Notamacropus eugenii: one gene and its partners. The protein of the gene in region 4 interacts with the protein of the main gene of each other region in a pairwise test. Links are inferred from orthologs where the notes say so. Each region holds a gene or a part of one and is shown on either strand. Other genes may lie near its edges. The genes, in order: NUDT18, TNPO2, PDZD4 and APIP.

What was found.
Region 1: the proteins of APIP (region 4) and NUDT18 interact in binary tests that used the Homo sapiens proteins (3 or more experiments, as listed by UniProt). The two-hybrid records come from large-scale screens. The link is inferred for Notamacropus eugenii from reciprocal best matches to the Homo sapiens genes APIP and NUDT18.
Region 2: the proteins of APIP (region 4) and TNPO2 interact in binary tests that used the Homo sapiens proteins (3 or more experiments, as listed by UniProt). The two-hybrid records come from large-scale screens. The link is inferred for Notamacropus eugenii from reciprocal best matches to the Homo sapiens genes APIP and TNPO2.
Region 3: the proteins of APIP (region 4) and PDZD4 interact in a two-hybrid assay, tested with the Homo sapiens proteins (2 studies listed by BioGRID and IntAct). The two-hybrid records come from large-scale screens. The link is inferred for Notamacropus eugenii from reciprocal best matches to the Homo sapiens genes APIP and PDZD4.

Annotation. Positions count from the first base shown.
Region 1 is NC_092872.1:612,589,975-612,597,320, forward strand, and holds the start of NUDT18 (8-oxo-dGDP phosphatase NUDT18), read left to right. Parts: upstream 1-4,347; 5' UTR 4,348-4,552; coding exon of another isoform or gene 4,553-4,600; 5' UTR 4,601-4,988; coding exon 4,989-5,150; intron 5,151-5,156; exon of another isoform or gene 5,157-5,546; intron 5,547-5,552; exon of another isoform or gene 5,553-6,035; intron 6,036-6,899; exon of another isoform or gene 6,900-6,952; intron 6,953-7,346. Other genes in the region: uncharacterized protein, read right to left, coding at 3,642-4,347, 4,553-4,600. UniProt on the Homo sapiens protein: Mediates the hydrolysis of oxidized nucleoside diphosphate derivatives. Hydrolyzes 8-oxo-7,8-dihydroguanine (8-oxo-Gua)-containing deoxyribo- and ribonucleoside diphosphates to the monophosphates. Hydrolyzes 8-oxo-dGDP and 8-oxo-GDP with the same efficiencies.
Region 2 is NC_092875.1:78,211,834-78,219,667, forward strand, and holds the start of TNPO2 (transportin-2), read left to right. Parts: upstream 1-4,830; 5' UTR 4,831-5,115; intron 5,116-5,662; 5' UTR 5,663-5,676; coding exon 5,677-5,775; intron 5,776-6,756; coding exon 6,757-6,832; intron 6,833-7,509; coding exon 7,510-7,659; intron 7,660-7,795; coding exon 7,796-7,834. Other genes in the region: RING finger protein 11-like, read right to left, coding at 569-740, 1,356-1,525, 2,627-2,788. UniProt on the Homo sapiens protein: Probably functions in nuclear protein import as nuclear transport receptor. Serves as receptor for nuclear localization signals (NLS) in cargo substrates.
Region 3 is NC_092879.1:22,693,512-22,701,359, reverse strand, and holds the start of PDZD4 (PDZ domain-containing protein 4), read left to right. Parts: upstream 1-4,844; 5' UTR 4,845-4,941; coding exon 4,942-5,001; intron 5,002-7,848.
Region 4 is NC_092877.1:16,507,402-16,514,438, reverse strand, and holds the start of APIP (methylthioribulose-1-phosphate dehydratase), read right to left. Parts: upstream 3,012-7,037; 5' UTR 2,385-3,011; coding exon 2,157-2,384; intron 1-2,156. Other genes in the region: PDHX (pyruvate dehydrogenase protein X component, mitochondrial), read left to right, coding at 3,975-4,122. UniProt on the Homo sapiens protein: Catalyzes the dehydration of methylthioribulose-1-phosphate (MTRu-1-P) into 2,3-diketo-5-methylthiopentyl-1-phosphate (DK-MTP-1-P).

The DNA of each region.
Region 1 (7,346 bases), on a different chromosome or scaffold from region 4:
AGGCGTCCTGACTCACTGCCCCAGGACTCCCTGTTCTTGGCTAATGGGTTGACCCTGGGAGCCTTGAAAGAATCTGAATGGAGAATAGGTGGTGAGCTCTATGGTGGGCAATCCCTTATTAATTAATGAATCCATCACAGAACACCTACTGTGTGCCCAAGCCTATAGCCTCAGTAAGAATAGAAGAGGGTCTCTGTTGTGAGCGTGCTCCAAAATGCAAGTGCAGACAGGGAGAGTCTGGGCAAAGAGCCAAGGGAAGAAAGACAAGTGTGAACATGGGAATCCTTACAGGCAGAAGCAGCCTTTGGCGGTCACTGGACCAGGTAAGATGGATCAGATGCTTGAGGGTAAGGGGTGGGGAACACAGAAAGAGAACGGGAAGAATGTGGTGGGCATAGACTTTGTCCTGGGCACTGAGTGGACCCATAAAAAAATCCCAAAAGAATTCCCCCCAAAATGTGGACGCAGATGAGGAAGACTAGGAACTAGGACCACAGCTCTGAGCATTTACCCTAGGGGGCTCTTTGGGTACCCTCCCCTTCTTCTTCACTTAGCCATCATTTAATTCAACTCAATTCAATGAAACAAAGATTTATAACCTCTTCATCCTTCAAGTCTCAGCTCTGGAAAGTCAGATATCTATTTTATCTTTCTTTACAATGCTCTACTTAACAACAGATTAAATTTTTTTTCAATGAATGAATGAATGAGCAAACAAATGGTGAGTGAATGGGTAAGTATGGCAAAGAATTGATGAGTCATGAATAAATGATTAAATAGATGAGTGAACAAGTGAATGAGGAAATGTGCTAATGAGTAAATAAATGAGGGAAAAAGAGCTGTCCTCAATGAGTTTTTATCACCGGTCCAGAAGAACTACTCCCAGAGTAAAATAACTTGTAATGTGAGTGCTTAGCTATGGTTGATCATCTCTGAAAAATTTTGTAGAATGGGAAAGGTGCTGTAGAGTGGATACAAAGCTGGTTGAATGACTGTACTTTGCTTGCACTGATGTCTGAAGTTTAATGGCCACAGACAGGGATGTCCTAGCATTTAACAAACACTTCTTTGGAGAAGAAAAAGCACATTGGATACACTTTTGGTTTTAATCTGAATTATTAACATTTTCTCCATAACTTTCTTAAATCTGGACAATCTACAAAATGAGAAGTCAAGTCCTGGTTTGTAGCATTTTCCTAGTCAGTATGAACTGTCTCCACTGACTACAGGGATTTGTCATATCCACAACTCAACTCAATAAACATTTATTATAAATTATAAATAAAACATTTGTTAAGCCTCTACTTTGTGCTAAGTACAAAGACAAAAATGAAACAGACTCTGACCTTAATGAACTTATGTTTTATTGTGGGGAAAGAACATATATATGTGTGTATGTGTATGTATACACACATGCACACATGTATATACACATACATATATGCACACATATATGTATATATACAGATAAGCAAATGTGAAAAATATACAGTAAGCACAATCAGTGAGTCAATAATTATTTAATAATAGTTAGCATTTGTACATAGCACTTTAGGGTTGGCAAAGTGCTTTACAATTGTTATCTTACTTGATCCTCACAACAACCCTGGAAGGTTGGTGCTATTTTCATTTCTATTTTACAGATGAGGAAACTGAGGCAGTGAGAGGTTAAATTACTTGCTGGCTCACACACTTGGATTTGAACTCAGGTCTTCCTGACTCCAGACTCAGTGCTCTATCTATTGTGCCACTTAGCTGGTCAGAAAGGTGGCCAGCACTGTACTAAGTGCTGGAGATTAAAAAAAAGAGAGACAAGAAAAAAGAGACAAGCCCTTCCCTCAAGGGCCTAATTCTAATGGGATTAATGTAATTAATGGGATTAATCTAATGGGATTTTAATGGGAGAGAGTAGATGTAAATAACTAGGTACATACGAGAGAGAGAGAGAGAGAGAGAGAGAGAGAGAGAGAGAGAGAGAGAGAGAGAGAGAGAGAGAGAAAGTAATCTGACGGGGGGGGGGGGGGGGGGGGGGGAGCGAGGGGGAAGGGCCATTGAGAAAGTGGAATTTGAGTTGAAGAGCATTCCAGGCATGGGGGCAGCCAGTGCAAAGGCACAGAGGTGGGAGATGAATGTCTTATTCAAGGAAATAACTTCAAAGAGGCCATTGTTTCTGGATCATGAGGGGGAGTAGGGTATAAGAAGACTGGAAAGTTAGCAATGGGCCAAGTTGTAAGAGGCTTTCAATACCATAGGATTTTATATTTGATTCTGGAGGTAATAGGGAGGCATTGCAGCTTTCTGATCAAGGGGGTGACATGGCCCCCTGTATTTCATGAAAATAATTTGGCAGTGATTGAAGGATGGATTGGATTGGAAAGAGACCTGAGGCAGGGAAACCACTACCAGGAGACTGGTGATGAGGGCCTGGATGGCTGCATGAGTAGAAAGAAGGGGATGTGCTGGACAGATATTGAGAAGTGAGAAATGACAAGACATGGCAATGGACTGGATATATAGGGTGAGGGAAAGTGAGGAAGGGGAGATATGCTGAGATTTGAGAGCCTGGGTGACTGGAAGAATGGTGGTGAGTCTCTCCCCCACTCCCACACCTAAGACTGAAGGAATAGTGAATTTATTAAGCCCTTACTATGTACAAAGCTCTATGCTAAGTGCATAGGGAAGTCTGGAAGAAGAGGATTTGGGGAAAAGAAAATGAATTCTATTTTGGAAAGGTTGAGTTTGAGATGCCTAGAGGCATCACAAAAACCTGGGGAGGTAGGTGCACTTATGATCCCCATATCACAGATGACAGAGAAGTTTAATGACTTGATGTAGGTATTTGTGGAGGGGGTGGTTAGAGATTTGGAGAGCAGAAAACAGAATAAAGTTGAACTGGTTTTACTCTAATGTGAACACTGGGAAAGAAGGTAAATAGGGCCACAGTACTGGCTGAGGAAATGGGAGAACTGGCATTGCAGACTCAGGTGAGGAAGAGCACTTTAAGAGGGGTGAAGCTTGGGGAAGGGTGGAGAGGTTTGGGTCAGACAGGGGAATTTGGGGATTCTGGTATAACCAACATTCATGGATGATGATGCCATTGACGGATGCCCAGACTTTGGCCCTGTGCTGTTTTCAGATTTTTATCAATGACTTGGATGAAGGTATAACTGGTTTGCTTATCAGATCTGTAGATGACATAAAGATGGAAGGGAGAGTGGTTGGGTGACAAGAACCAGGAGCCTATTCAGGGCATTTGGACCGGAGCTATGGTTTCACTGATACAGTAACCCTAATATGAGGAAACTCCCTATGTCAAAGAAAGTCAACGCTTTGGCTTATTATAGTCCCAGCTGCCAAGGGCGCCTAGAGGTGAAATGACTGGTCCTGGTTCCCCTAGCCGATGTGTCGGAAGGCTAATAGCAGTCATGAGAATGAGCATTCATACTGCAATTCAAGGTCTGCAAGGTCCTTCACAAACATTACACCACTGGATCTTCACAGTCCGGAGAGGTCTGTGCTACGTTACCTCCATTTTACAGATGAGGAAACTGAGGCAGGCAGTTCAGTGACTTGCCCGGGGCCACTCCGGTATCGCAATAACCCTTCCAAGTTCGCCAGGTGCTTTATAAATGCCATCTCACCTGGCGCTGGGAGGTGGGCGCTCTTCCCCTCACGTCCCGAGGACGGAGCAGGTGGGACTTTAAGGCTGGTCTCCTGACCCCGGGCCGGCGCTCTGGCTACCGCACCGGGAGAGCGCGGGAGCCAGACTCTGGACCAGCCGAACGGACCAGGTAACGACCGTCCGCCCCTCCCAGCCCGCGGCCCGCGGGATGCTCTCCGCGGTGACGCGGCCCGGCAGAGCCCCAGGCTGCCCGGCACGTCCAGGGCTGCACGGACGCGCGTAAAGCCACTCGCAGGATCAGACACGCAGAGGCGCGGGGGGGGTGGCGGGGTCAGGCGCCTGTTCGTGAGAAGGCTCGCGGCCCCCGGGGGCGCGCGTGGGCAGACCAGCGCTAGCCCCGAGCTCGGAGGCCAGGGGCACCCCGCGGCCGCGACTTGGGGGTAGACAAAGACAAGCGTTCGGTTCGCAAGCGTCCAAATTCCAAGGACTACCGGGCGCGGTGGGGGCGGGGAAGGAATCGGAGCTGCGGGCTCGAGCCGGCTCCCAGCGTCCGAAGGGCCGACCTGGGGAAAGGCACTGACCCAGTTCTGAGGGGCGCCAGGCGATGCAGGGGGCAGCTTTAGGGGTGCCCGAGGGAGGAGGGCGGCAGTGGCTGCGTCGGACTGGGGTGCAGGGGGGAGGGCGAAGTAGACAGCGGGGGTGCGGTAGGCAAAGGTCAGGGGGAGCTGTCACCGCTTTTTTGTGACGTCACTCCGAAGCCGTCCTAGGCCTCACCCACCCGCCTCTGTGGGTGACGTCATCTGCTATCCGCAGGGGGCGGTGACGTCATCACGCCGCCGGAGGGAGAAGCGAAGGGGGCAGCGCAAGCAGGGAAAGCGGAAGTCTGAGCGGTCACTCCTCAGACTCGGCTCCTTTAAGAACAGTCTCCACCTCCGGAAGGCCAATGGCCAATGGAGGGGCCGGGACGGCTAACGTCATAACAGCGGGGGTGGGGAGGGCACGCCTGGGTCTCCCGGGAGAGGTGGGGCCGGAGGAGGGAACCCGAGCAGGCCCTGATTTCCCCTCCCCCTCTAACTCCCCCCACTCGTCCGACTGGGCCTGAGCCTTCCCGAGGGCCGATTCTGGCCTTGACCCTGACCTTGACCTTGCCCTCTCTGCGCCCTTAGCCCCTAGCTCCAGTCTGTCCCGTGTGTCCCCCGGGATCCGTTTCCTTTGAACCCAAATTTTCCATCTTGGTTCCTGGGGCTCCACCTGAGTCCAGAGTCCCTGCTCCACCCCAACCACACCCCCCCACGTGATCCAGTCTGGGTCTCAGCCTCTCCCCTGCATCCCTCCCCACCCCCACCCTCCACCCCCGCCCTTGCCAATGGCATCCTCAGGCCTGGCAGGGGACCTGAGGGCCGTGCTGGGGGGCCAGGGGCTGCCGGTGCTGGACTATGACTCTGTACCGCTAAAGGTCTCACCTGTGCCCGTGCAGCTCAGGAAGAATGTCTCCTATATCGTGCTGGCTGTCTTCTTCAACGACCAGGTGAGAGGCAGCCAGGACCCTGACTCCAAAGTCTTTGGGACCCCAGACACCCCAAGATAGAGGACCCCAGAGCCCGGGCCCATGTAACCCATGGGCTTAGGAAGGAGAGACGAGGAGAGGCCCCCCTCATTGGCGAGGTGCTGACCCCGTTTTCATTCAGCATTGTATTACGTGCCCTGCAGGAGTGACACCCAAAGAAGTCTAACATTCACCCCAAACATTGACTGAGTGTCTGCTGGGCACAGCGCACCGCGCTGGCTGCCACAGGGTGCAAGCACGGAGAATTCTAGTCACCATTTATTGATTAAACACTCGCTCACCGTAAGCTAAGGAGACCGAGAGGAGAAACAAGATACCATCCCTACCCTCAGGGAGCTCACCTGTCGGCACTTGCAGGTGGGAGTGTGATAAACGTATAGGAAAGATGCAGACCAAACGTTTAGAGAAAGCTCCATGACTGGCTCCATGAGCCGGGTCTTGAATAAAGAGGGAAACCTTAGCAGTTGTCCAGCTGTTCAGGAAGGATTTAGTAAGCACCCACTATGTGCCACATGTTGGGGTTACAGAGATAAAAAGATAAAACTGTCCCTGCCCTCAGGGGTTTGTATTCTACTCGGGGGAAATAAATGCTTATTGAATAGATATAGGGGGAGGAGAGTGAGAACAGGCATTTATTAAACATCTACTGTGTACCACATGCTGAGGTTATCCAAAGATAAAAGGACAAAACACATCCTGCCTTCAAGGGGCTTATATTTTATTGGGGTAAATAAATGTTTATTGAACTGACATGGGGAGATTAGAACAGGTATTTTTTAAACCACTGCTGTGTGCCAAGCACTTTACAAATATCGTCTTGTTTGATCCCCACAACAACCCTGGGAGGTAAGTACCACCATTGTCCTCATGTTACTGTTGAGGAAACTTCGGTAGATAGAGGTTAAGTGACTCGACTAGGGTCGCACATAGTAAATACCAGAGGTCAAATTTGAACTCAGATCTTCCTGACTGCAGACCTAGTGATCTATTACCACTTAGCTGCCTCAAGGGGAGGAGGAATAACTAAAGATTACTGAGGTTTACGGTCTTTTGTGACTGGGAGGGTGTTAGTATTATTAACAGAAATACAGAAATCAAGAAGGGCAGGTTTTGGAGGTAGGATGATGAGTTCAGTTTAGGACACACTGACTTTGAAGTCCTGACAGGACATCTTGATATGGGAGGTACCCACAGGCAATTGGAAGCCTTGGATTGGCATGCATGGGAGGATCAAATCTAGAGATAAAGATTTGGGAGTCATCTGCCTTGGGGTGAAAATGGGAGCCATGAAAGTTGATGAAATCATCAAGGGAAACTTTATAGAAAGACAGGCAGATCCTGAGAGAAACAGAGAGTGGAAAGGGGAGGGGGGGAGAGGCAGATCCTGAAAGATACAGAGAAACAGGAGAGGAGAGAGGGGCAGATACTAAGAGAGGGAAAGAGAGAGAGGCAGAGTTGAGAAAGGAAGAGAAAGAGACAGTGATGGGGGTGGGACAGAGAGAGAGAGAGAGAGGGAGGGAGGGAAGGAGAAAGAGAGAGAGAGGGAGAGAGAGAGAGAGAGACAGAGACAGAGAGAGAGAGACAGAGAGAGAGAGGCAGATACTAAGAGATAGATATTGAGACAGAAGAGTCAGTTACTGGGAGATGGGAGAGATACTGAGGAAAAAGAGAAGTGAGGAACCTCCTCCCTCCACCCACCCTGTTTTTCAGGAGCTGGAAGAGGAGCCACCAGAGAGAGAGATTAAAAAGTGAATGGTCAAAAGGCAAGTTTAGAAGTGCATAACTATTCTTTCTAAAGAGGAAAGAAGAATAGTTTGAGGGCATAGCTGATTTAGAAGGGTGTTTGTTTGTTTTTAAGTTAGGAGAAACCTGGATATGTTTGTAAGTAAAGGAAAGGCGTCACTAAAGAGGAAGAGACCAAAGATGGGAGAATATACATTTGATGCAGGTCCTGAAGAAGGAGGGAGGAGATGGGCCCAGGTGGCCAGAAAGGGAGGTCACCTCTTCCTCAGAGACCAGAGGAAAGGAACTGGGCCTGGGTCTGGGTATTACCACAGACTTTGAGGTGTGGAAGAGGGAAATTGAGGGAAGTTTCAGGCAGATGACCACCTAAGATTGGGGCCAACTACTGACAGTGAGTGGGATAGATTAGAATTG
Region 2 (7,834 bases), on a different chromosome or scaffold from region 4:
GCAGGTTAAAAGGAGGATCCAAAATATCAGGCTTATTAGTAAAAGTTGCCTAGTTTTCATTGTCCCACCAGCAAAGGCCCAAGCAGAGGGGACCAATGTAATTTGTTCCTCCTGCACTCTTACCACCCCGAACCTCACTGGGCTTTAGCCACAGTGAATATTTGATTCCTGGAATTAGGATTTGAAATGCTTCCTCTCCCATCACCTGTAGGGGAAGCTTCAGATACTGGGCTCCAGGACTCAGCATTATGGGACTGAGAAAAATATTAGCTTTCAGGATCATCTTTAAAAACTCAGCAGTAAAAACAGTCCATAGTGGGGTGGGGGAGGAGACTAGTTACTTGATTTGAAAAAGAGACTTTGAGCTAGGGACACTGAAGTGTCAGCTTGGTCTGTCTCAGGGCAGGATATCCATGGAACAACCTCCTCCAGTGCGTGCCAGCCTAGCTTCAGCATTCTTTGGCATGTTCCCCAAATGTGAAAAATGTCTAGCTCCAGTGGTTGCTGCTTTTCCCCTGGGGCTCACCTGAGTAGGCCCGGGGGACATGTTGGCTGCCAGGCTCCAAATTCAGCTTGTCTCATAGGAGGAAAGCAGGGCTGCATCCACTGGCTCCATGCAAGAGGGACATGTGAGAGAGCGCATGAGCCAGTCATCAATGCAGTGGACGTGGTAGGTGTGCAGGCATGGCAAGAAGCGTATGGCATCCCCATACACAAAGTCCAACATGCAGATCACACACCTGCAGGGACCAGGGATGGATGAATGTATAGCACTGGTTCTCACCCTCCACCCCTCCACCCCCACCCCCAATTCCCCTCCACTCCCAGGCCATTCCAGCCCAGCATCTCAGCTCCGATTGCCACTGAGGCCTCCCTCCGTGTACCCAGCCTTGAACTACACTGTTGATTGAGGAGACATTAGGGCCTGCCTTCAAGTATCTCAGCCTGGGAGAGACAAGGAATGGCAGACTTTGGCCTTGCTCTCAGGGATCTGTCTAGAGAAAACAGAAAAGTATCTGATCCTGGCCCTGCCCTTTAGTTCATAGTTTGGGAGAGACCCAAAACCTTGCCCTTTAAGAGCTGCCAGAACTGGGGTGATGTGGGGAGTGGGGTGGACATGGACAGTGAGCTCCAAAAACAACCCTATTGGGGTTGAGCTCAAGGATCCAGTCAAGAACACAATGGGTGTGTCTTAGGAGCCTGAGTGTTTCCCCAGACTTCCCTCCTAAAAAGAAAAAGATTGAGAGGCCTCAGTGAGGGGTCTCAGATTTCTGCTCCCTGAAGGCTGCATGTCTACAGCAACATTCCCTTCAGGAAGGAGCCTGGGGCATCCTCATCCTGTTTCCCACCCTTACTCTTTCATTTTCTTTTCGGACCCCTCAGAGCCGGGGTCGAAGATGCCCTTGGGTAGGTGCTGGATGAGGCCAATTCTCTGGGCGATGCGGATCTGCTCCTCCTCTGTGAGCTGTGTGGCCAGTCGGCTCTGGCTTGGAGATGGGTGGTACACTGGGATTGGCTCCCGTGCCTGGGGGGGATGGGGACAGGATGTACATGGCAACTTGTCTCTGGGGAACTCATCTTTCAAACTGCCTGTGTCTAGTCCCCTATCAGGGCCTCAGGTTGTCTAGCTCGAAGTCTGCTTTAAGGGGATCTATGAGCTTTGTACCCTCTGAACCTCCTCTGCCATTCCCTAGGGATCCTAAATACAATATCAAGTGCACCACACTATGAATGGGACTAATTCCTCCATGCACATAGCCCTACCTCAGTCCATCACTGTCTCTACATCTCATCATACAATCTAGCACTGGAGAGGCCTGAGAGACTATTTAATCCGACCCTTTCATTTTCTAGAGAAGAAAATACAGGGGAAGGGACTTAGCCAAGTTCACATGGCTAGTAACTGATGTAGGTTTTCTTTTCTGAATCCTATGCCGTTTCCACTGCCTAATGATCTTATTCAGTAGGAGGACTTCTGTGTTTCTTTGGTTTTGGGATTCCTAGAGTCAGTCCTCCTGCCCCCAGTCCTGACCTGCCCTGGTTTGGCAAACTCCAGGGTTCCCCCTCTGCCAACCCAGTTCTATTCCATTTCTCTCTGCTCTACCATGTCTTATAGGGTGAAAAGAGTAGATTCCAAAGATTTCCTCCCTCTCCAACTAAGCCTGACCCTCAGGGTCGTTGAATTTGACAGTCCACAGTCTGGCCTGACCCTTGAAGGTGTAGGTGGTATTGGTTACCCAGGGTTTTTCTCTTTCACCACTCTTGGGGATGGTGGGTGATGGTGGGTGAGATGCCTCAGGTCCCTTATGCCTGACTTTGCTGGTGGCTGGAATTGGGTGGCTGGTGGTGGATTCTCAAGGTCCCCTGTTCCCAGTCCTGCTCTGTCTCTGGGGCAGTAGGTGGGTAGTGGCAGATGCGAGAGTTGCCCTGGTTAAGGCTGTGCCTAGGCTTTCTGGCCGTCCTCGCAGATACTCCCCAGCCCTGGCTGCCTCTCTGGGGCACTAGCGGGGTTGGGGGTGGCAGATGCCCAGGGTCCTCCTGTGCCCAGCCCTCCCCTGCCTCTCTGGGGATCAGGGAGTGGCAGATGCCCCGGCTCCCAGCCCGGCCCGGCCGGCGCGGTGCTCACCCTGCTGGGAGGCGGGGGCGGTGGCGGCGGCGGCGGCGGATCCCCGGGAAAGCTGCTCCCGTCTCTGGAGTCGTTAAGCAGCGACAGGTCGTCTGCGGCTCCGGCCCCCGCCTCGTCCCCAGCTCCGGTGCCGGACCGCTGCGACGACAGACAGTTCCCCATGCCCGGCCCGGCCCGCTCAGCGGCGGCCGAGGCCCCTACTTCCAGGCTTCCAGACTCCGAAGTCCGTTCCAGCTTGGGAGACCCCGGACAGGCCGAGCCTCGCCATCCCCTCTCCACTGCCCAGGCTCTTGGCCCAACTTGGACTCACCGCTGTTTACAGCCCCAGCCGGAAGTGCGGCAGCTCGAGGCGCAGAGGGTCGTGGGAGTTGTAGTTGCGGGTGAGCTCGGGGACGGAGCGTGAAATTGATCGAGGAGCAGGGTTAGTCGTGCGCATGTGCACGCGCAGGTGAGGTTCCTCCATTTGCTTCCGTGAGGGCGGAGGGAGAAGATCGGGAACATGTGTTCTTGCTTCTGGTTTGCGCTGAGTCCCCAAAGCTCCGTAGACCAAGCACACCTAAGGTGACTTCAGAAGTGACCAGGGAACATGTTTGAACTGCATCCTGTCTTCCATTGTAATTATTCATGGATCTTATCTCCCTTGGGGGTTTGTGACCTCCCAGTCTGGGACTGATCTCATTCTTTCACCCTTGTCGCCTCCTGCCAGGGGCGATGAGATTTGATGCCCTAGTTTTGAGAAATATTTGCAGAAAGAATGAAGACTAAGGCCTTGAGCCCTGGATAGGATAAAAGAGGAAAAATATCTTCTGTCTTCCCTCCCTCATCCTTATGGCAGTCCTTTCATTGCAGCAAGCAGGAGCTTTCATCCCTTGTCCTACCCTATTGCCCCCTTCAGAATCCTTCTGTAAACCCAGGAGGATTCCAGGGAAGTGCAGAGCCTTCCTTGGGCCTAAACTGCAAAGACTGGGCACACCGGGAAGTTCAAAGGATCGTGACTTAGAACCCCCTTTATTTTAGAGATAAGGAAACAGACAAGGAAGGAGATCTTTATCTAAAGTTACACAGTAGAGCAACGATTAAATTTCAGAATCTTTGACCTCAAATTGCTCTTTTCTCTGTACTCTCTTCTAACTGTAGGATGAGGGCCATAATCCTAATTTATACTGTGGATTGTTTCTTTTAATTCAAGTACACACACACACCCCTCTCCCGGAGTCTAATCACCCTAATTTCCTTCTCCACTCTGGCTGGCCTCCTCAGTTACAATGGCCAGCTCACTCTCCCTGAGGCCTTTCTGTTCATTGTGCCCATCTTACTTTCCTCCTTTTCTATTTCCTAAGCATTGGAATGTTTCAAAATATGTGATGGATGGCAGCGATGGGGGGAGGGAGAGAAGACGAATAAATTAGATCTCCACCCCAGGGTGAGGACACAGAACAAACAAAATGCCAACGACCTTCTCATACACCTGCCTGGCCTGAGTTTTAGGAAGCTGGCAGCTGAAACAGTGAGGGGAGGGATGCAAGAAGGGAGAAAGGACAAGAATCAGGGAGGTTTGGGGGAAGGTAAGGGGTAGAAGTAGGTAAGGCTGTGTGTATATGAAGCCTGGAATCACAGAACTCTGAGTTGGAAGGGATCTTCAGTCATTTCCTCCATTTGATCTAGAAGGAAACAAGCCGAGTCAGGGAATTTGGAAGGCCAGTCTAGAACAGGAGCGAATACAGCATCCAGAGTGTCCCAGCTCCTAGACCTGTATTATCCACAGGGTCATAGACCGAGCACTGGAAGTGATCCGGTTCAACCCCCCTCATTTTTCATTCACATTAGGGACCTGAGACCCTGACAGGTTTATTGATTGGTCCAAAGTCATAAAGCAGGTGGCAGCAGAGCTGGACCTCGGGAAGAGGGGGAGAAATGGAGCATGGAGAACGGGTGGCCCTGAATAGGAAACGAGCCCGGCGCTTTCTCTTGAGGATGATGACGGGGGGCTCCTGCACTCCTCACAGGACCCAGGGGCGCCTCAGGTGCCAGGCCCCAGGGCAGGTGCCAGCGGAGAGCAGTAAACGAGAGACTGGAGGACCGAAGGCCAGAGAGACGCAAGAAGTAGCGGTCTCCCCCGTCACGTGACAATCCCTCCTCTGGTTCCGCTTGGTCGCGACCGCCGGTCACGTGACCTCACTCGAGGCCGTGCTCCGCCTCTCCTTCTTTTCCCACCAGCGCTCGCCGCCCTTCGCCTCCCTTCCTCCTCTCCAGTCACTGGGACCGTCCATCGTCTTGATTGGCTGGGGGGAGACAGTTTGAACGGCGGACGGAAGCCGCTGCGGCTCAGGCCAAGTCGCGTTCTTTTTTTTTTTATTCGCTTCCTCGCTCCTCCCCGTGTGTGTCTCGGGAGAAGCCGCAGAACGAGGAGTCGCCGCCGCCGCCGCCGCCGCCGCCGCCGCCGCATCTGCCGCCGTCGTCGCCGCTGTCCCGGTCACCGTCGGGTCCTGGTGAGTGGCTCGGCCTGAGCCCTGATCGGGGCTGTCGGCCGCGGCCTGTGGGGGGGGAGCAGGCGCGCCGGGGCCGGGGCTGGGCCTGGGGGAGCGGCCAGGCCTGTTCGAGGGCCCGGGGCCGGAGAGAGCGGGACAAGGAGCGAGGGGGTGGCTGGGCGCGGCGGCAGCGGGCCGGCCCGATGGGGCCGAGGAGGGCCGAGGCCTCAGCCCGGCGTGCACCCACCTCCCGGCATCTCCCCTCCCCCCACGCCTTGTCGCCTTGGCCCCGGCCCGGCCCCGGAGGGGCCCCGGCCCTCCCTTTCCTCCCCGGAGCCGGCGCTTCGGGGGCCCCCAGCTGCGAACAAGGTGTGGGGGGGTTAATCACCTCAGGCTTTCGGGTGTTCTGTTGCTCCCCCATCTTCCCACGTGGCCCAGGGGGCTTTTCTGCCTCCTCATCCCTCCCTCCCCCGGGGGGTGGGGGGCAGCCCTGATGTCCACTTGGGTGACCAGGAACTGCCCAGAAGAATCTAATCTGCCTTCTTTTCCCTTCCGGACCGCAATTTAGACCATCCCCCCACCATGGACTGGCAGCCAGATGAACAGGGCCTTCAGCAGGTCCTCCAGCTCCTCAAGGACTCCCAGTCCCCCAACACGGCCACTCAGCGAGTTGTCCAGGACGTATCCTTTGGCTGGCTGACCCCTCTATTGTCTTAAAAGACAGAGAGAATGGAGGGACCTAGGACTGTGCATCCTTCCCTTCTCCCAGGCACCGGGGGCCAGGGCTGGCTTAGGTTGTCTGGGCCCTTGGACAGTTACATCCCATTGTGTGGATATATTGTATTCTTTCCCCTAAGTCATCCTTAAGCATTAAAGAGTACCTACCGTTCTGTGCTGTGCCCAGCCAGCACTCTGTCTGACATGGGAGGGGGTAGGTGAGAGAAGAGCCCATAATACAACAGAAAAACTGCTAGAATTTTAGTCAGAGATCCTTTCTACAACTTCTAGTCACTTCTCACTGAGTCTTGGTTTCCTCCTCTTGAAATCAAAAAGCTGCACTTACATGATATCTAACTCTACCTCCTCTGATCTTGGAGGGAGAGACCATGAGATCATAGCTCTAGAATTGAAAAGAAACTTAGTGGTGATCAAGTCTAACTCTCTACTTTTACAAATGAGGAAACTGAGGCTCAGAGAGGGCATATGACTTGGACAAGGTCACAAATTTTAGTCTGAGCTGTTATTTGAACCTAAGATCTCAAGTTTTATATTTTATCCTCTCTACCAGACTGCCTCTTTAAGAGCTCTGGAGGTGCCAGGGATTGAATATGTGCTCTACCACTGAGCTAAATCCTCTCTAGATATTCCTGCGGAAATTCTCATCTACAGGGAAGAAAGGTACAGAGTAGAATCCAGGGCAGTTAGGAAATATTCAATCTCCCCATTGATTGGGGGCCAATAAAGCTTGTCTGGGGGTTGTCCATATAGTAGGATGATGACCATTAAGGATGGATGGGTTTTTTTAAACAAACATAGTAGGTATTAGGAAGTAGTGAGTGTCTCAGGGGTCTGATTTTTATCTTTTTTGATATCTAACTCCTCACCTGTGTTATCTAGAAGGGTCGGTACTGAATTGGCTTAGTCCTTAATGTTGCCCTACAGAAACTAAAGCAGCTAAACCAATTTCCTGACTTTAACAACTACTTGATTTTTGTCCTGACGAGATTGAAGTCAGAAGGTAAGTCTGGATTGGCTTTGGACTGATTCCTTCTGCCCCTCTTGCTTTCCTGTCTCTGGCCTAAGGGTTAAGGGGTCTCATGGCCCCATCTACTTGAGATCAGCAAGTCCAAATCAGTAGACATTTATCAGGCACCTGTTGTGGTTAAATCATTTCACTGAGGATACAGTGATGAAAAATGGAACAATTCCTATACTTGAGGCATATCAGTGTAATAGAAGTCATACATAAACAAGTAGGATATGAAATAGAATGTGATATAGAGACAATGAAATCCAGGGAGGTGGGGGAGTTCCTGCAGAAATGGAATCAGGGAAGGCTTCATGAGAAGATGGAGATGAACAAGCCAAGCAGAGGCATAGGGGATAGCCTTTGAATATGAAGGTACAAGGGATCAGCACACCTTGTTCTGCTTATAGTACAGTGTGACTGGAATGCAGAACATTTGGATGTGAGAGGGCCATAATATGAAATGTACCTGCAAAGGTAGATTGGAGCCCTTTCTCCCTTACCAGTGCAGCAAACTGACAGGTATGTTGTGCCAACTGGATCTCTTTGGTTTTTCAGTGTAACCTTGGATCCTGCCATTCCTCAGGGCCTGGGTGATAATTCTGGCTCACAGGAATTGAGCCCCTTAGAATTTCTGATCCAGTATTTTCCTCAATCCCTTTCCCCAGATGAACCAACACGCTCCCTCAGTGGCCTCATTCTGAAGAACAATGTGAAGGCACATTACCAGAGCTTTCCCCCACCAGTGGCTGACTTTATAAAGCAAGAGTGTCTCAACAATATTGGTGATGCCTCCTCACTCATCCGAGCCACTATTGGTAAGGTGGGGGTGAGTGGGGGGAGCTATACTGGGTGAGGATGCTGTCTCCTCCATTTCCCTCCACCTCTGTCCTTGCATGCCCTACCTCAAGGCAGGCATAGCTTCATGGAATTTCCTTCTTCCCTTCCCACTAGGTATCCTTATCACTACCATTGCTTCCAAGGGAGAGCTCC
Region 3 (7,848 bases), on a different chromosome or scaffold from region 4:
GAGAGACACAAAGAGACAGAGAGAGAGAGACAGCTGGACTTTGGAGTCACTGGAGAACTCCCTCAAACCTCCTTTCCTGGCATGCCAGGACACGGTGACATGGCTTAGCTTACTTTCTTCATGTTACCTCTTGCTGTGGCCTCTGGTCAATTGGCCTCTGCTCTGCTGTCCATCCTTTGGTTACAGCAGAAGCTCCAGATTGGCCCTGATCCTACCACCCTCATTGACTCTAGGCTTGCTGCTAGCCCCCCTCCTTCTTGGTTTTTGCTATCCCCACTTGTAAGTTTGAAGGCCTGAAAGCCCTGGGCTGTCAGCTTCAAGCAGCTGGAGCTTTTGATTTCTTCTTTCTTTCTTTTTTCCCAGCTCCAGCTAATCCCACTTTCTGAGACTGATGAGGGGAACAGGGCTTCTGCTGAGGCGCCACAGAGCCTGGGAGGGCACCTGCTCAGAATTTCCAAGCAGCTGGGAGCCTACTTCCCCCTCCCCTGGCCCCTTAGGTCCCCTCTTCTATCATATCTATAATCTCCATATCCCTTCCGTAACCCCCACCATCAGCCCATCCTCATCTGCTTTCCCCTCAAGGCCTCCTTTTTTCCCATCTTTGATGTTTGCCCCTCCTGCCCTGGACTCCCACCTGGGCTGTGCCTCATCCAGGACTCTGTGCAGTGAGCCTAGGGGCAGGTCTCAACCTAACCTTAGAGCTTGGAGGGAAGAAATAGGTGGACATTTAGTAATTGTTTAAGAAGACAGATCACTCATTCCCTACCCAAAGGTACTGAAACTCTGCAGAACATCCCCTTGCATCATATATCTCTTCTCCTTTAGTCTAAGACACAAACCTTCCAATTCCCTACCCCCACCTGCCCCCACAATGACTACCTGGCCCCCAGGATAGAAACCCAGAAATCAGCCCAAGATGGAGAGTGGCTTTGAGGGAAGTTCCCAAAAGGCCCCTCTGTTCTGAGGTGGAGCATGAGGGGGTGGGGACAGGAACAGCTTTCGTTTGTGGTTCCTAAGGACCTCAGCTCCCCAGGAGGTCGCATCCCATTCAGATTCTTCCAGGGCACTCTGGTTTCCTCTAGGTTTTCAGACCTTTCTCTACCCCTTGGCTTAAGAACCTAAGAACAAGTACCCCTGATCCTCTTCTTCCATTGCCCTTGTCTCCCAGGAGCATGAGCTGCAGGTCCATGCCTCTTGCCCTTCCATCACTCTCAGACACACAAGGCAGACCACAAGTATACTCCATTTCCATCCTTCAAGGGATCTTGGTTTCCTTTGCTTGGGGGTAGGGGTGGGCCAGTACTTCCTCCAACAGTATAGACTCACTTACCTTTTCTTATCCTGTGCTACTCTTGGCACTTGATAAATCAACAAACACTTAAGTTGCTGCTGTGGGCCAGATGCTATGCTCAGTGCTGGGGAGAGAAGTCAAGCCAAGACATCAAGCTATCATAGCTATCTACTATGTGCAGATGAAAATGAAATAGTCCCTGCCCTCAAGGAACTTAGATTCTATTGGGAAGATCCCATGTACACATAGAAATAAATGCAAAACATATACAAATATCCTACTCTACAGAATAAATGCAAAGGAATTTTTTGAAGGGAAACACAAGAAGCTGGGGAAAACAGAAAAGGTCTCAAGCAGGAGGTGACATGGGAGAAAAGTCGTGAAGCCTGAAGACAGAAGATAGAATGAATGCTGTGTGTGAAGAAGCCCAGTTCACCGAGGGGAGTGCGTAAATAGGCGTAATGTGTAATAAGCCTGGAATGGTGGGTTTGGGGCCAGATCTAAAGGGCTTTAATCACCAAACAGAGGATTTTGTTTGATCCAATGGGCAGCAGGAAACTAGTGGAATTTATGGAGCAAGAGGATGATGCAGATCTGATCTGTACTTTAGGAAAATCACTTAGGCAGCTCTATGGAGGATGGATTGGAGAAAAAAAGGAACTGGAAATAAGGAGAACAATAAGGAGACTCTTACAATAGTCCAGGCAACAAGCGATGAGGGCTTGAATTAGAGTGATGGCTGTGTAAATGGAGAAAAGGGAAATGTGGAGGTAGACTTGGCAAGACGTGGCAATGGACTGGACAGTGGGCTGGGTGAGAGTGAAGAGTTAAGGATGACTGAGGCTGTGAACCTGAAAAATGGCATTGATGGTGGTGCATAAGTGGATTTTTGGGGGGAGGGAAAAGAAATTGAGGTTTTGGGGGGGATATGTTGAGTTTGAGATGTCTACAGAACACTGAGTTTGAAATGTACAAAAGGTGATTGGTAACGCGAAAATGGAGTTTAAGAGAGAGATTAGGGTTGGATGTATTTAGGACTTGCAATTATCTATACAGAGATGGTAGAGGAGCTGATGAAGTCTTCAAAAGAGAGGGGAAGGCCCAGGACACAAGTACACCCACAATTAAGGAGTGGGATACGGATTGTGATCCAGCAAATAGATAGGAAACAGTCAGGTAGAAGAACCAAGAGAGAAAAGTATCATGAAAACTTCCAAAAGAGAGAGTATCCAGGAATAGAGGGTAGTCAACATCATTAAATACTACAGAGGACTCAAAAAAAGACAAGCAGTTTAGTAAAAAGGCCATGGGATCTGACAATGAAAAGATCTCTTTGAAGAGAGAAATTTTCGGTGAGTGATGAGGTGGATAAGACCTTGGAGTCTAACTACTCCAACCTTCTCATTTTACTTCTTTCATGAATTTTATTTTTTTATTCTGAACTTAAACACCCCAACTCCCCCTCCAAATATTTCCATATACACAGCAGAGCAGAAAAAGAAGCTTGTATATGAAACTGAGTCTCCATTTCATACCACTTGCTTTAAAAGCAAAACACCATATACTAACTTCATGTGTTACTTTCAGAACTTGTCTGTGTTTTTTCCTTTTATTTTTTGTTTTAAAAAAATGTTTCAATGGCCCTCTTTTAGGTGGAATTGCTAACCTTGACTCTCCCTCACATTAAAACCAAAGAAAGATTCCTGTAACAAATCCAGGAGGTGGTCATGTCCAAAATGTCTCTTTCTATGGGCTGCATCCTTTCTGTAAGGAGGCACAACCCTCTCATTATACCGAAAAGAAAACAGTCCCAGCGAAGGGAATAAACTGACTCTTAGGGATTTAGAGCTGGATTTAGAGCTGGAAAGGACCTCCTTCAGAGGCCATATTGTCGATTTTACAAAGGTGGAAACTGAGGTTCAGTGAGGTTAAATGCCTTGCTCAAGGTAACATTAGTTTAAGCCAAAGTTAGAACTCAGGCCTCCTGACTCCTAGAGTTACATAACTCAGCTTTTGTAGTCTCTATTGGCCATCTCCCAGTTTCTGCTCTAGAAGCGTACTTTTCAGATGGCTTAGTCTGGACTGATTCCCTTAGGATTCCCTCATGGAAAGGGAGTTGAGGTACCTTGGGGGGTGGGGTGGGGGGCGGATTGACTCCAAAGCTTTCGTTCGAACCTTTTGAAGGCCTGATATGCCATTCCAGGGTTCAATGAAGTGACTGATCTAGTGCAACGCACTGTTCTTGGAGTGACCACGGCTGCCTAAGTCACTTCTCGTTTTAAGAACTTCCCATTTCTCACCCGTAAAGGCAACTCCGTAAGGCTGGAGTTGCACTGGTTCGAGGGAGCTTTTTCTCCAAAGGACATCACAGGGCTGGTCCAAACAAAAATGGGACAGATGACTATCCTTGCCCTGTCTACCTACCTCCCCCGGCTGGGGGTGGGGGTGGGGAGCGCATAGACGCAAGTTCTTAGAGAAGAAAAAAAATGACAACCCATCAGCCAAGGCAATGAATCAGGGATGCTGAGGGAAGGAGCAGTTATGTAGAAGAAGAAAGGCAGGCAAGAGAGAGGAGAGATGTCGACGGGGAGAAGCTGAGACAGAGAGATTATAGCTGGGAACGGTGGGGGACCCAAAGCCAGACCAGAAACAGGGTTCCTAGTGGCCCCTCGACTCCCCTAGTTTCCAGACTCCTTTCATCGAAGACAGTAAAGGAGATTGGGGAGCAGGGGGCGGGGGAAGCACGAGGGATCGATCTCAGGAGGTGGTGCCCTCTCCCCCAGGTCCGCCTTGCACAGGCGGGGTGGGTGCACTGAGACACTACCCTCCACCCCTTCACGCCGTCGGGGGTGCTACAGAAAGGGCGAGGGCAGGGCGTGAGCGCCAGTAGGGTTACAAGCCAGGCGGGAAGCAGAGAGCAGCCCACCCCCCACCCCCACCCCAGGTCGAAAGGGGCTCCAGGTGTCTTTCTCCACCCCACCATCTCCCCCTCCCCTCCCGGACTCGGAGTGCGCCTGCGCGCTGCTCCCCCTCCCCCTCGGCTGGCGAGCGCCCTACAGTCAGGGAGAGAGGAGGAGAGAGGGCGGGGGAGACGGGGCGGCCGGAGCGCAGGCGAGGCGCTGGGCTGTCGGAGACGTTGCCTTCGCCGCCGCCTCCTGCTGCGTGGCGGGACCAGCCGGACCGGGCCGAGCCGGGTCAAGGCGGTGCCGGCGGACGCGGGCAGGAGCCCTCTTGGGAGGGCCCCTGCCAACCCGCCCTTGGGTCCGTCTGCTCAGGCAGGGAGGGGGCGGCCGTTGCTAGGCAACACTCGTTTCGGCCCGCCCGCCTGCCCTCTCGTCCTCCCTCCCTTGGGCCTCGAGCCCCTCTCCTCGCGCTCGGCCCCTCCACGAGGGCCAGGGGAGCATGCCCCCCTGGCTGGGCTGCGGCCCGCGCAGCACGCCTGGGAGGAGGGGCCAGGGGCGCGCCCCCCTCCCCCGCTGAGCGCGGCCCCGCCCCCGAGCCGCGCCATGGCCCCCCCGCCCGGCGGCCCGGGAGCCCCCGGCTCCCCACCAGCCCTGCGGCTGGACCAGTGAGCCCCGGAGTCGCCTGCCCGCCGCCAGCCGCCAGCCGCCCCCCAACCTCCCTCCCCACCCCATCCCCCGGCTGGCACCATGGGATGTAACATGTGTGTGGTCCAGAAGCCAGAGGAGCAGTACAAAGTGATGCTGCAGGTAAGGGGTCTGGGCCGGGGGGAGCTCCCGGGGAGATGAGGAGGGGGAGTCAAACTGGGCCCAGTCGGGGTTCGGGAGGGGTGAAGGCCTAGAATTCTAGTGCAGTTTATCAGAAATCCCGCAGAAGTTGTGGGGTGGGATGCCACCGTCTAAGTGGAAGAAGGGGGCATCATTTTGGGCATCTGTGCGGGAGCCTTGAAACAAAACCACGCGGGGCGCGTGGATTGTCCGATATGGGCATGGATTAATGGGCCCTTGCTAAAGAACATTCACTTTAGGATTGGGGAGCACGGAGTAAGAGGTCCAACTGAAAATGGGAAGCCAGGGCAGGATGGGGATGGTTGCATAGCAACGAGTTCATTTCCCAGCAACCCCCCCCACACCTTCACACACACACACACACACACACACACACACACACACACACACACACACACACACACACACACAATGTGTCACCCAACGTGTGGGGAAGGCACTCTTACCTAGAGGGGAGAAAGAAGAAATGAGAATAAGTAATAAATAAAGACACAGGCTAGCCAGGATGACAAGGACACACCGACTCCTCTTCGCTCCAACCCACAAAGAGCAAGTTTCCCTCTGGGGCTAGGCTAGATGGTTTTATCAGCCTTAATGGTCTGCAGGTATTTCCGAGGAAATAGAATGCTGAGTATACACACGCCCAAGAGCACATAATGATAAGCCACCTCCGCTTCCTCGAATGCCCAGGGTTCTTAAGTGTCTAGCCGAGAGCGGCAAAGTACAAGAGCACAATTGTTTGTGTTTGCCACATTTCTCCCAAGATTTCAGTCCCCACACGTAGAGATTGAGGAACAGGAGCTGTTAATGTACATGTTATGGATCAAGTACATTTGTGCTTATAGTATTCAATGAGCATGATTCGGGTATCGGCCATAATACAGAACAGAGAAAAAGAGAAAAGCACCATCTCTGTCCAATCAGCTTGCAAGCTTAAACTAGAGAGGGAAGATACTGACAAGAATGTGTCTCTAATAGCCTGTATATCCTGTTGGTGTGCAGAAAGGTGTGCTTATGTGTCTGTACTTGTATATGATATGTTTAGTGTGTATATGTATATATATATACATATATAATATATTAAAGCCGGGCATGTGTATCTGTTTATACACTGTATATGCAGTGTATGAATTTAGACATTTCATAATACTTAACACAGGTACCTTTTACATATACTGTACATTCATGTATATATATGATCAATGTATTATGGTATACGTGTGTTTATATTCTTTACATATATGCATATGTGTCCATATGGTACATACTGTGTGGGCACGTAGACATACTAATGTATGTATGCTTTCTGTGTTGGGGTGTAATTTGTTTCTAAAAAATTAGTCACCCATGGCCAATCCAAACTCCCTAGGGTAATGTTCCCAATATTGACAGAGGTCATAGTTGGGTAGTGGCTTAAATAGAGTCTGGGGTCAGAGCAGACTCAAAGGCAGAAGATGAGAGAAAGATGCTTTCTTAACCAGCTTTGAGTTCTTTAACTACCCATGTCCCGTCTGTTAGGGTTTAGATGGAAGAGGGTGGGGAATGTGAAAGACTAGATGTGGCCTGAGGCATGGGGAGATTTGCTATACAGAGAGAGAGAAAAGAGAGATTTCTCTGCTGAAAAGGGTGGGGGAAACAACATCATGAAATCTGTTTTAAAAAACAGAAAAGATACCACTGTGAAGGAAGTATGGTACATAGACCTGGGGTTTAGTAGGGTGGAACTAAGCCTAATGGATAGATCCAAAATTGATGTTTGGAACCGAATTCCTTTGACCTGAAGAGAATAAAAAATGAACAGGTAAATGTTGCCTTGTAGGAATGTGTTCATTTTCCTTTTCTTTCCGTTTCTTTTGTCTTCTTGTACTCTTTCTACCTGTTTCTCTTGATCTATTTCTAATTTCTCTTGTTCAATTTCTGTCTGACTGCCCCTCCCCTTTCCTACTTTCTTCCTGCTATCATGCTATCTCTCTTTCTCTTGGTCTCACCCACTCCAAATCTTGCCTTTGTGGCTGAGATTTGACACCATTGTGAGAGCGATGCAGGAAATTCACAACCTGGAAATACACAGGCTATTCTTCAGAATCAGTGTTGTTCTCAGGGCATACTGGAAGGAGGTGGGGTGGTGGGGTGTTGTAGTGATAGCTTGGTGGTGGTGTAATGAACACCAGCCTTCCTGTTTCAATGTCTAGAATCATTCCAAATGGAAACCAATTCCTTTCTCACTGAATCTTCACTGATAGTGATAGGAAAGACACTGGAGGGAATGATTCCTTTATAGGACAAAGACCAGAGGAGTGTGTGTGTGTGTGTGTGTGTGTGTGTGTGTGTGTGTGTGTGTGTGTGTGTGTGAGAGAGAGAGAGAGAGAGAGAGAGAGAGAGAGAGAGAGAGAGAGAGAGAGAGAGAGAAAGAGAGAGAGAGAGAGAGAGAGATCTTGAGGTGGGGCAAGGGACATAGATTCCATGTTTATTATTAATTAGGACAATGAAGGGGAAAGGAGAAGGAATTCTCTTAACTAAAGATGGTTAGTGTGAATATTTTGCAGGATCATAACACCCCTCTGCTTTGAACATTCAATAAATATTTGGGTAAAAAATTCCTTGGGTTGGGAGGAAGAATCAGAATTTAAGGTTTAGAGACTTTGAACTAAACAAGGGTTCATGGCTGAGTCACATTATAGAGTCCAGGCTTTGTCACATACTAGCCTCTCTCAGCCTTGGTTTCCCCATCTGCAAAATGGGGAAAATTATGCTTGCAGTACTTACTTCTGAGGGTTGTTGTGAAGCTCAGATGAGATAATATTCGTG
Region 4 (7,037 bases):
CATGCTAATAAATAATTTTGCTTTCTGTTTGGCCTCCAGTCTTTGGCCCACAGTCATCAGACGCCAGCTAACCAGCGTGCCTTTTCAAAGAGTTCTCAGTTTTTTAACTGAGAGAACTCCCAAACACAAACAAGCATTTGCTTGAAATCAACGTTCTCTAAATATCCCTATTTTCAGGTGACACTAAACTAATTTCATCAAGCCCCTAGGATGCTGTTTCTTCAGGGAAAGACTAACCATCCACATTAGGAAAACAAAACAAAAACCCATATGCTAAACAAATTAAAACATGTAGTTGTGCATTAGGGTGTACACTCAAGACACTTTTAAATAGGTAAAATATTTACTGAATATCCAATCATAATAGGCATTATTCATCAAACAGAAACATCCTGGAAAATAAACAATTAAACTTTGCACAGGACCCTTTTCTTTATTCTAGGATTCACTTCATCATCACAATCCTTTCCACCCGCTCAGCTCATCATCACAGATATCAGTATTGTTACTTACACCAGTAAGTATCCTCAGCAGCCCTGCGCAGAAGAGTGGGACAAAACCAACAAAGCCTCCACTGAAAGGGGGTGCCTTGGTCCAGACAACTCTTCCTTTCCCACAAACTACAACCCTTGGATCTAAATCCACCATCCACATGGCCCAGCACCTGGGGTGTCCCCCCCCACTACAGTTTCCTTTTGTGATGTCTTCCCTCAATGGATTGTAAGCTCCTTGGGGGCAGGGACTATCTTTATTTGTGTCACCAAATGTTTAGTAAACATTTATTGTTTTGTAACTTCTTGGCTAAGACGGGTAACCAGAGGTGCTTCCTTTTAAGAGGTGAGCTTTTTACCTCTATTTCCTTTCATGGCCCCAAATAAGGAGAAAGAGACCCAGAAGAGAGAGGGGGAAGAAATGCCTAGCTGATGCTTTCCTGAGGCTGCTGCAGTCACAGATGATCAATGTCCTACCCCAGGCTCTGCAGTAGAAGCATTCCTGCAGCAGATAAGGCATAGGAGGAGATCCTTTGCAATCCCAGAGAGACTTTAGCCCAGGGGATGAGTGAGTCCCCTGAAGAACCTCCCTCTCCCATCAGATCTCTTTGTAAGTACTAGTGGTCATGGGAGGAGGGGGTGAGGCTTGGAATGGGAAAAGGTCAGCAAGTGCTTTGGCCCTTGGGAGTGACCAGGCTTTCCTCCCCGCCCCCACTAGACAGGGAAAAGGCTCAACAGGTCAAAGTTCTGACTGGTCTCTTCTGTGGTCACTCCTCCTCTTCTTCTCAGTTACACTCCCTTTTGGGGTTAAAATCTGAAGGAAATGGTGTACAATTGGGGCTCTCCCTCTCTTCTCATAGCCTCATCTCTCACTTAAAACTGCTCTCCCCAATGTTAGCAGTGATCTCACATGGGCCAAATTCAGGGGGCTTTTCTCACTCCTCATCCTCCTTGACCTCGTTCTCCACTGCTCCTCCAGTCTCTCTGGCTGGATCTCCATGCAGGGCATTCTGGGTGCCTCTTCTCTGGTCTCTATACTCTCTCATTAGGGGAGCTCATAAGCTCCATACAGATCATTCCCAAATTCTCCAGGCCTAGTCTCTCCAGTTCTCCTCCAGCTTTGAAAATGCCTCCAGGACATTTCAAACCGGCTGTCCTACAGGCACCTCAAATTCAACATGCCCAAGACAGAACCCATTACCTTTCCCCCTCAAACTCTTCCCGTTGTCTGTAACTTCTCTGTTACTGTCCAAAGCACCACCATCCTCCCATTTTTTCAACACCTTGGTGTCATCTTCAACTCCTCTCTCCTATCCACCTCACCTATCTAATCATTTGTCAAATCTTTTAACTTCTCCCTACAAAAAGTGTAGGTCTTATCATGTAGTCCGTCACTCAAGAAACCTTAATGGCTCCCTATTGTCTCCAGAATCATAAAGTTCTTTGTTTGGCATTTAAAGTTCTTCATAACCTGGCCCCTTCTCAACCTTTGCAATTTTCTTCCATTCCAAAGACCAATCAGCTGGTCATTCAAAACGCGTTGATTAAGCACCCATTATTCCATCTCTACTTGTGCACTCCTGCCCAAACCTCTAATTGGGGTAGAACACCTGCTCTGGCCCCTGAACCCCACTCTTAAATCAGTACTGTATGCTGGCCTCTCACCATTACCATCCATTCCTCTCCAAAGGCCACCTGGGTGACATCATTCTCCAGGTCGGCCCTGGTACACCTACAGTTGAACCCACTGGAGAAAGCAGGTTTGCCTCGAGCATTCCCCGGCCTTGACGAACTGGCCTGCTTGCTGCTTGTCAACAATCCATCCCTGGTCTCTCTGGCATTCCGTACAAGCTGTTTCTCCTCATTCCCATCTCTGACACTTCCTTGTTTCATTCAATCAAAGTTCACTTTCAGCGCCCCCTCCTAGGGGAAGCCTGTCCTGACTGTCAGAGCTGCCGGTGGTCTTCCCCCTTAAGTCACCGCATGCGTGCTGATCCTACCAAGCAGAGAACAAGCTCCCCGAAAGCAGGACCTGCTTCATGTTTTGTCCTCAGGTGCCCTGCCTAGCACGTGGTAAAAGCTGCTTAATGCTGAATGGCTCAGTGGATGGAGTGCCAGGCCTGGAGCCAGGAAGCCCTGAACTCGAACCTGGCCTCAGCCGCTGACTGACTGCGTGACCCTGGGCAAGTCACTTTATCTGCCTGCCTTCATGCAACGGAGAAGCGACTGGTGACACACTCTGGTGTCTTTGCCACTGACGGGGCTGGCACGCTGTGGTCCAGGGCCACGGATGGCAGAGACCGTATCGTGTGCTCCTTCTCTCTCCCCCATCGGGGGCACGGACCACCCTCCTCTCACGGGATTCACGGGAACTCAAGAACCCACACGGGTGCCCGCCACGTGCCAGGCACTGGAGAGACCGAGACCCAAACAGTAACTCCGGACCCTCGACCGCAGCGCCCGCCGTGGGGAGCGCCTGCTGTACTAGCCCGTGAGCTGCCAAGACGGAGAGGGAGCGGGCATCCACGGGGCACGGGGAGCGGGTCCGAGGCCCCGCGGGGCACGGGGGGGGGGGGGGGCGGGTCCGAGGCCCCGCGGGGCACGGGGGGGGGCGGGTCCGAGGCCCCGCGGGGCACGGGGGGGGGGGGCGGGTCCGAGGCCCCGCGGGGCACGGGGGGGGGGGGCGGGTCCGAGGCCCCGCGGGGCACGGGGAGGGGGGCGGGTCCGAGGCCCCGCCGTGCACGGGGGGGGGGCGGGTCCGAGGCCCCGCGGGGCATGGGGGGGGCGGGTCCGAGGCCCCGCCGGGCACGGGGGGGGGGGGGCGGGTCCGAGGCCCCGCGGGGCATGGGGTGGGTGCCGCAGAGGCGGTCACCACGGGAGCCCAGCGCCGGAGGGGAGCAGAGGCCTCCACAGCCTTCTCTCTCCGGGTCCCCACTTTAGAATCCACGCGGACCACCGCGCCTGGACTCCCACGGAGGTCACCCAGCGGTGTGGGAGGAAGCTGGGGATCGCGAAGGAACGCTAAGAGAAACAGCGGGCACTAGGGGCGGGAGGAAGGCAGTGAGCATGCGCAGACTCCGCCTCCACAGCGGCCTCCGCACGGCCCCTCCCCGGTCCGGTCCCGCCCGGGGGCCGTGCGCCTCCGTTTCCTCCTCCTCTTCCTCCTCTTGCCCCTGGCCCATTATTATAATAATGACCATGCTCGACCGCTTCCTCTCCTACCTCCACTAGGCCGCCGTGATAGCAGCAGCGGCCCTCCGGAGCTCGGCACGTGCTCATGGCTCACCCGGGCCACACCGCGGGACCTCCTTCCAGAGCCTTTCCCGATAGCTCTGCTTTTTCACTCAGGCAGGGCGGCGGTCAGCTTGGGGGTGGGGTCATGGGCGGGGCGCCGCGGAGCGCAGACCAATCAGGACTGAGCGTGGCGCTGAAGAAGGACGACTCTGAGGACCCCGGAGGACGCTCGCCCGCCCGCCGGCAAAGATGGCGGCCTCCTTGAGGCTGGGCTGCGGCCGCGGGGCGCTACGCTACCTCCTGGGCTCCGCGAGCGGCCGGCGAGCCAAGGCGGTCGTGACGTGGCTCGGCCGCGACGGCCCACGCCGGGGGCTCCATGGCTCAGCGTGGCTGCGGGGTGAGTGCAGCGGAGGAGGGGGCGGATCATCCCGGTCCCCGGGCTGGGCCCCCGCGGGAGCCGGAGCGCCCGGCCGGACCAGGCGGAACAGGCCGCGGCCTCCGGGGGCTGAGTGCGAGGGCGGGCCTCCCCTCTTTATTCTGGGGGCGGAGCGGACTCGAGGGCCGCGGCCTAGCGGCCTGGAGCCGGAGGCGACCGTAGAGGTCACTGAGCCCAGGCCCCGCCTCCTCCGGCTTGTGATTCTGTTACCAACTACCCCCCCTCCTGCAGCGCCGCCGGACTCGGGGTCCGGAAGTCCTGAGTTCAAGTAATCTGGGCATGAGACCCTTGGCATGTCACTTCAGAGTCTCTGGGCCTCAGTTTGCAGAACGCGGTCAGGAGGGGCGGCCGGGTGGTGCAGTGGGTAGAGCCCCAGCGGAGGAGTCCGGAGGACCTGGGTGCAAATCTCACCTCAGACACGTGACACTCACTAGCTGTGTGACCTTGGGCAGGTCACTTAACCCCAGCTGCCTCCTCCTGGGCCATCTCCGGTCATCCTGATGGACACTTGGTCCCTGGATGCCCATGGCTCAGGAGGAGGAGTGAGGCTGGTGACCCGCAGCCCTCCCTCCCTCCCAGTCACCTCATCATCTCCGCTGGCCGCCAGGGCCGAGCACCCCCAGGATGCGGTCCGTGTGGGTGCTGGTCCGCCCAGAGCCGGTGGGAGGCCCACGCCAAACCTTCCAGTGTGGTGTCGGTCCAAGTGCCCGCCACGTGCCCGGCTCTGCCACCACCAGCCCGCCGCTGTCATCGTCAGCCCTTCCTGTTGAAGACAAAGGCAGAAGGGCTGCTCCCATCATTCACACTGTTAGTGGCCACCAAACACCCCAGTTTAAGGGGAAAAAACTGTCCTTATTTTAAAAAGGTATACAAATCCGCTTTGGCTGCAGGTCAAGACGTCTGCCTTACTCTGTTCACAGGCTCTTTCTTCCATTAGGAGATAATCACCGGGCTTCGGTGGTATTTGGTGGCACCCCGTAAAAATGCCATCGTCCAGTCAACCATGCATTAAGTTGGAGCCGTGTGCCAGGGTGCTTGGTAGACAAGTGTAAATGGGGAAGGATAGAATGAGAAAAGGCAATGGAAAGGGTGGAGGTGGGGAGAGGACATGCCCAGGAGAGCTCCTGGTGGAGGTAGCTGCGGGGGCCTGCCCTGTGGGAAGGGGGGGTTGAAAGGACAGGGGGAGAGAAGGCTGTGGAAGTGGGTAGCCAGGACCTACCTGAGGCATGGAGGGGGACAGGGCAGAGAAAGGGAAGGATGGTCAGCCTGGGCATTTCCCCAAAACGGTGTAATGGGCAACCTAGAGGGTCAAGGCTGGTTGCTGGAAGTCCTTTTCTCTCTTTGATGGGATACTGAAGATGCTCCTCTTAGGAATCATATAGCTTCTTTGCCCGCTGTCTTGAGGAACCATGAATCTGCATCCTATCTCTCCTTGGCTCCTGATGTAGACATTGCCACAGAATGATGAGGGGTTGGGGATGGAGAGGGAAGATGTTAAGATACCGGTGGGTTGGGGAATGGTTCTCTGAATTGTTCTCATTCAGCTCACTTGAGCCTGCATCAGTCCATACAAGGCTTCCCAGGTTTCATAAAACTATTTCCTTTCATAATTTGACCATTCTCCAGTTAATGAACTCTTTGCTCAATGAACCGTATTGACTCCTAATTACTTGTAGAATCAAATAGCCTCACTGTTGTATACCTGTGAAACATGGACACTCTACCAGAGCCATGCCAAGAAACCGAATCCCTTCCATTTGAACTGTCTTAGGAAGATTCTGAGGATCACCTGGCAGGAGAAGGCGCCAGACACGGAAGTCCTTGCTCAAACTAAACTGCCAAGCATTCAAACTATGCTTCAGAGAGCACAACTCCAATGGGCTGGCCTTGTTCAAATGCAAAATGTGTGCTTGCCCAAAAGACTGTTTTATGGAGAATTCGTATGGGGCAGGCGATCACATGGTGGTCAGAGGTGATACAAGGACACTCTTAAGATCTCTCTCAAGAACTTTAGAATTGATTGTGTGACATGAGAGACACTGGCATAGGACTGTTTAGTGTGGTGTGCCTACATCAGAGAAGGTGCTGTGCTCTACGGAATTGAGACAGTACAAAGGAAATGCAGGATGTGCACATTTGTAGTATCCACCCCAAATGTTCACAGGAACTAGCTGTGCCCAGCCTGTGGTAGAACATTCCAAGCTCATATTGGTCTGATCAGCCACAGTCAGACATGCTGAAACGTGCCTTTAAGTAGTGATGGTTGAAAATGAAGAACAACAAACCAACTATGTAGTACACCTTTTGTTCCAGTCATTTGACATTGCTGCACACACACCCCTACACCTCTCAAAAACCCTAGTTACCTTGTACGTCTTTTGCATTAGATTTTGGTCTCCTCCCCCAAAAGATTTTTGAACCATATTTCAAGGCAATAGGAGGTTAAGTGACTTGCCCAGGGTCATGAAGCTAGTAAGTGTCTGAGGTCAAATTTGAACTCAGATCTTCTGACTCCAAGGATAGTGCTCTATCTACTGTGCCACCTAGCTTGCCCCTCTTTAGTATTTTAAGGTTCGTAAAGCCCTGTCTCAGCAACTCGTTGGAAGCTGCTGGGGCAGTGGACAGAGAGCTGACCTTGAGACTGACAGATCTGAGTTTTGGTGCCCCAAGCATGTCATTTACACTTGGGGCCTCAGGTAACTCTCTTACTGTAAGTTTCAGAGCAAGTACTGATCTGCATTGGTAGAGGAGGCCCTACACCAAGAACACCCTAGATCTAGGACGCATTTCTCTTCTACTTGTTTTGGCATGTTGTTTTCCTGCAGGATGTGTAAGCTCCTTGGGAGCTGGGTGGAGTGGGGCTCTCGTTGCCCCTC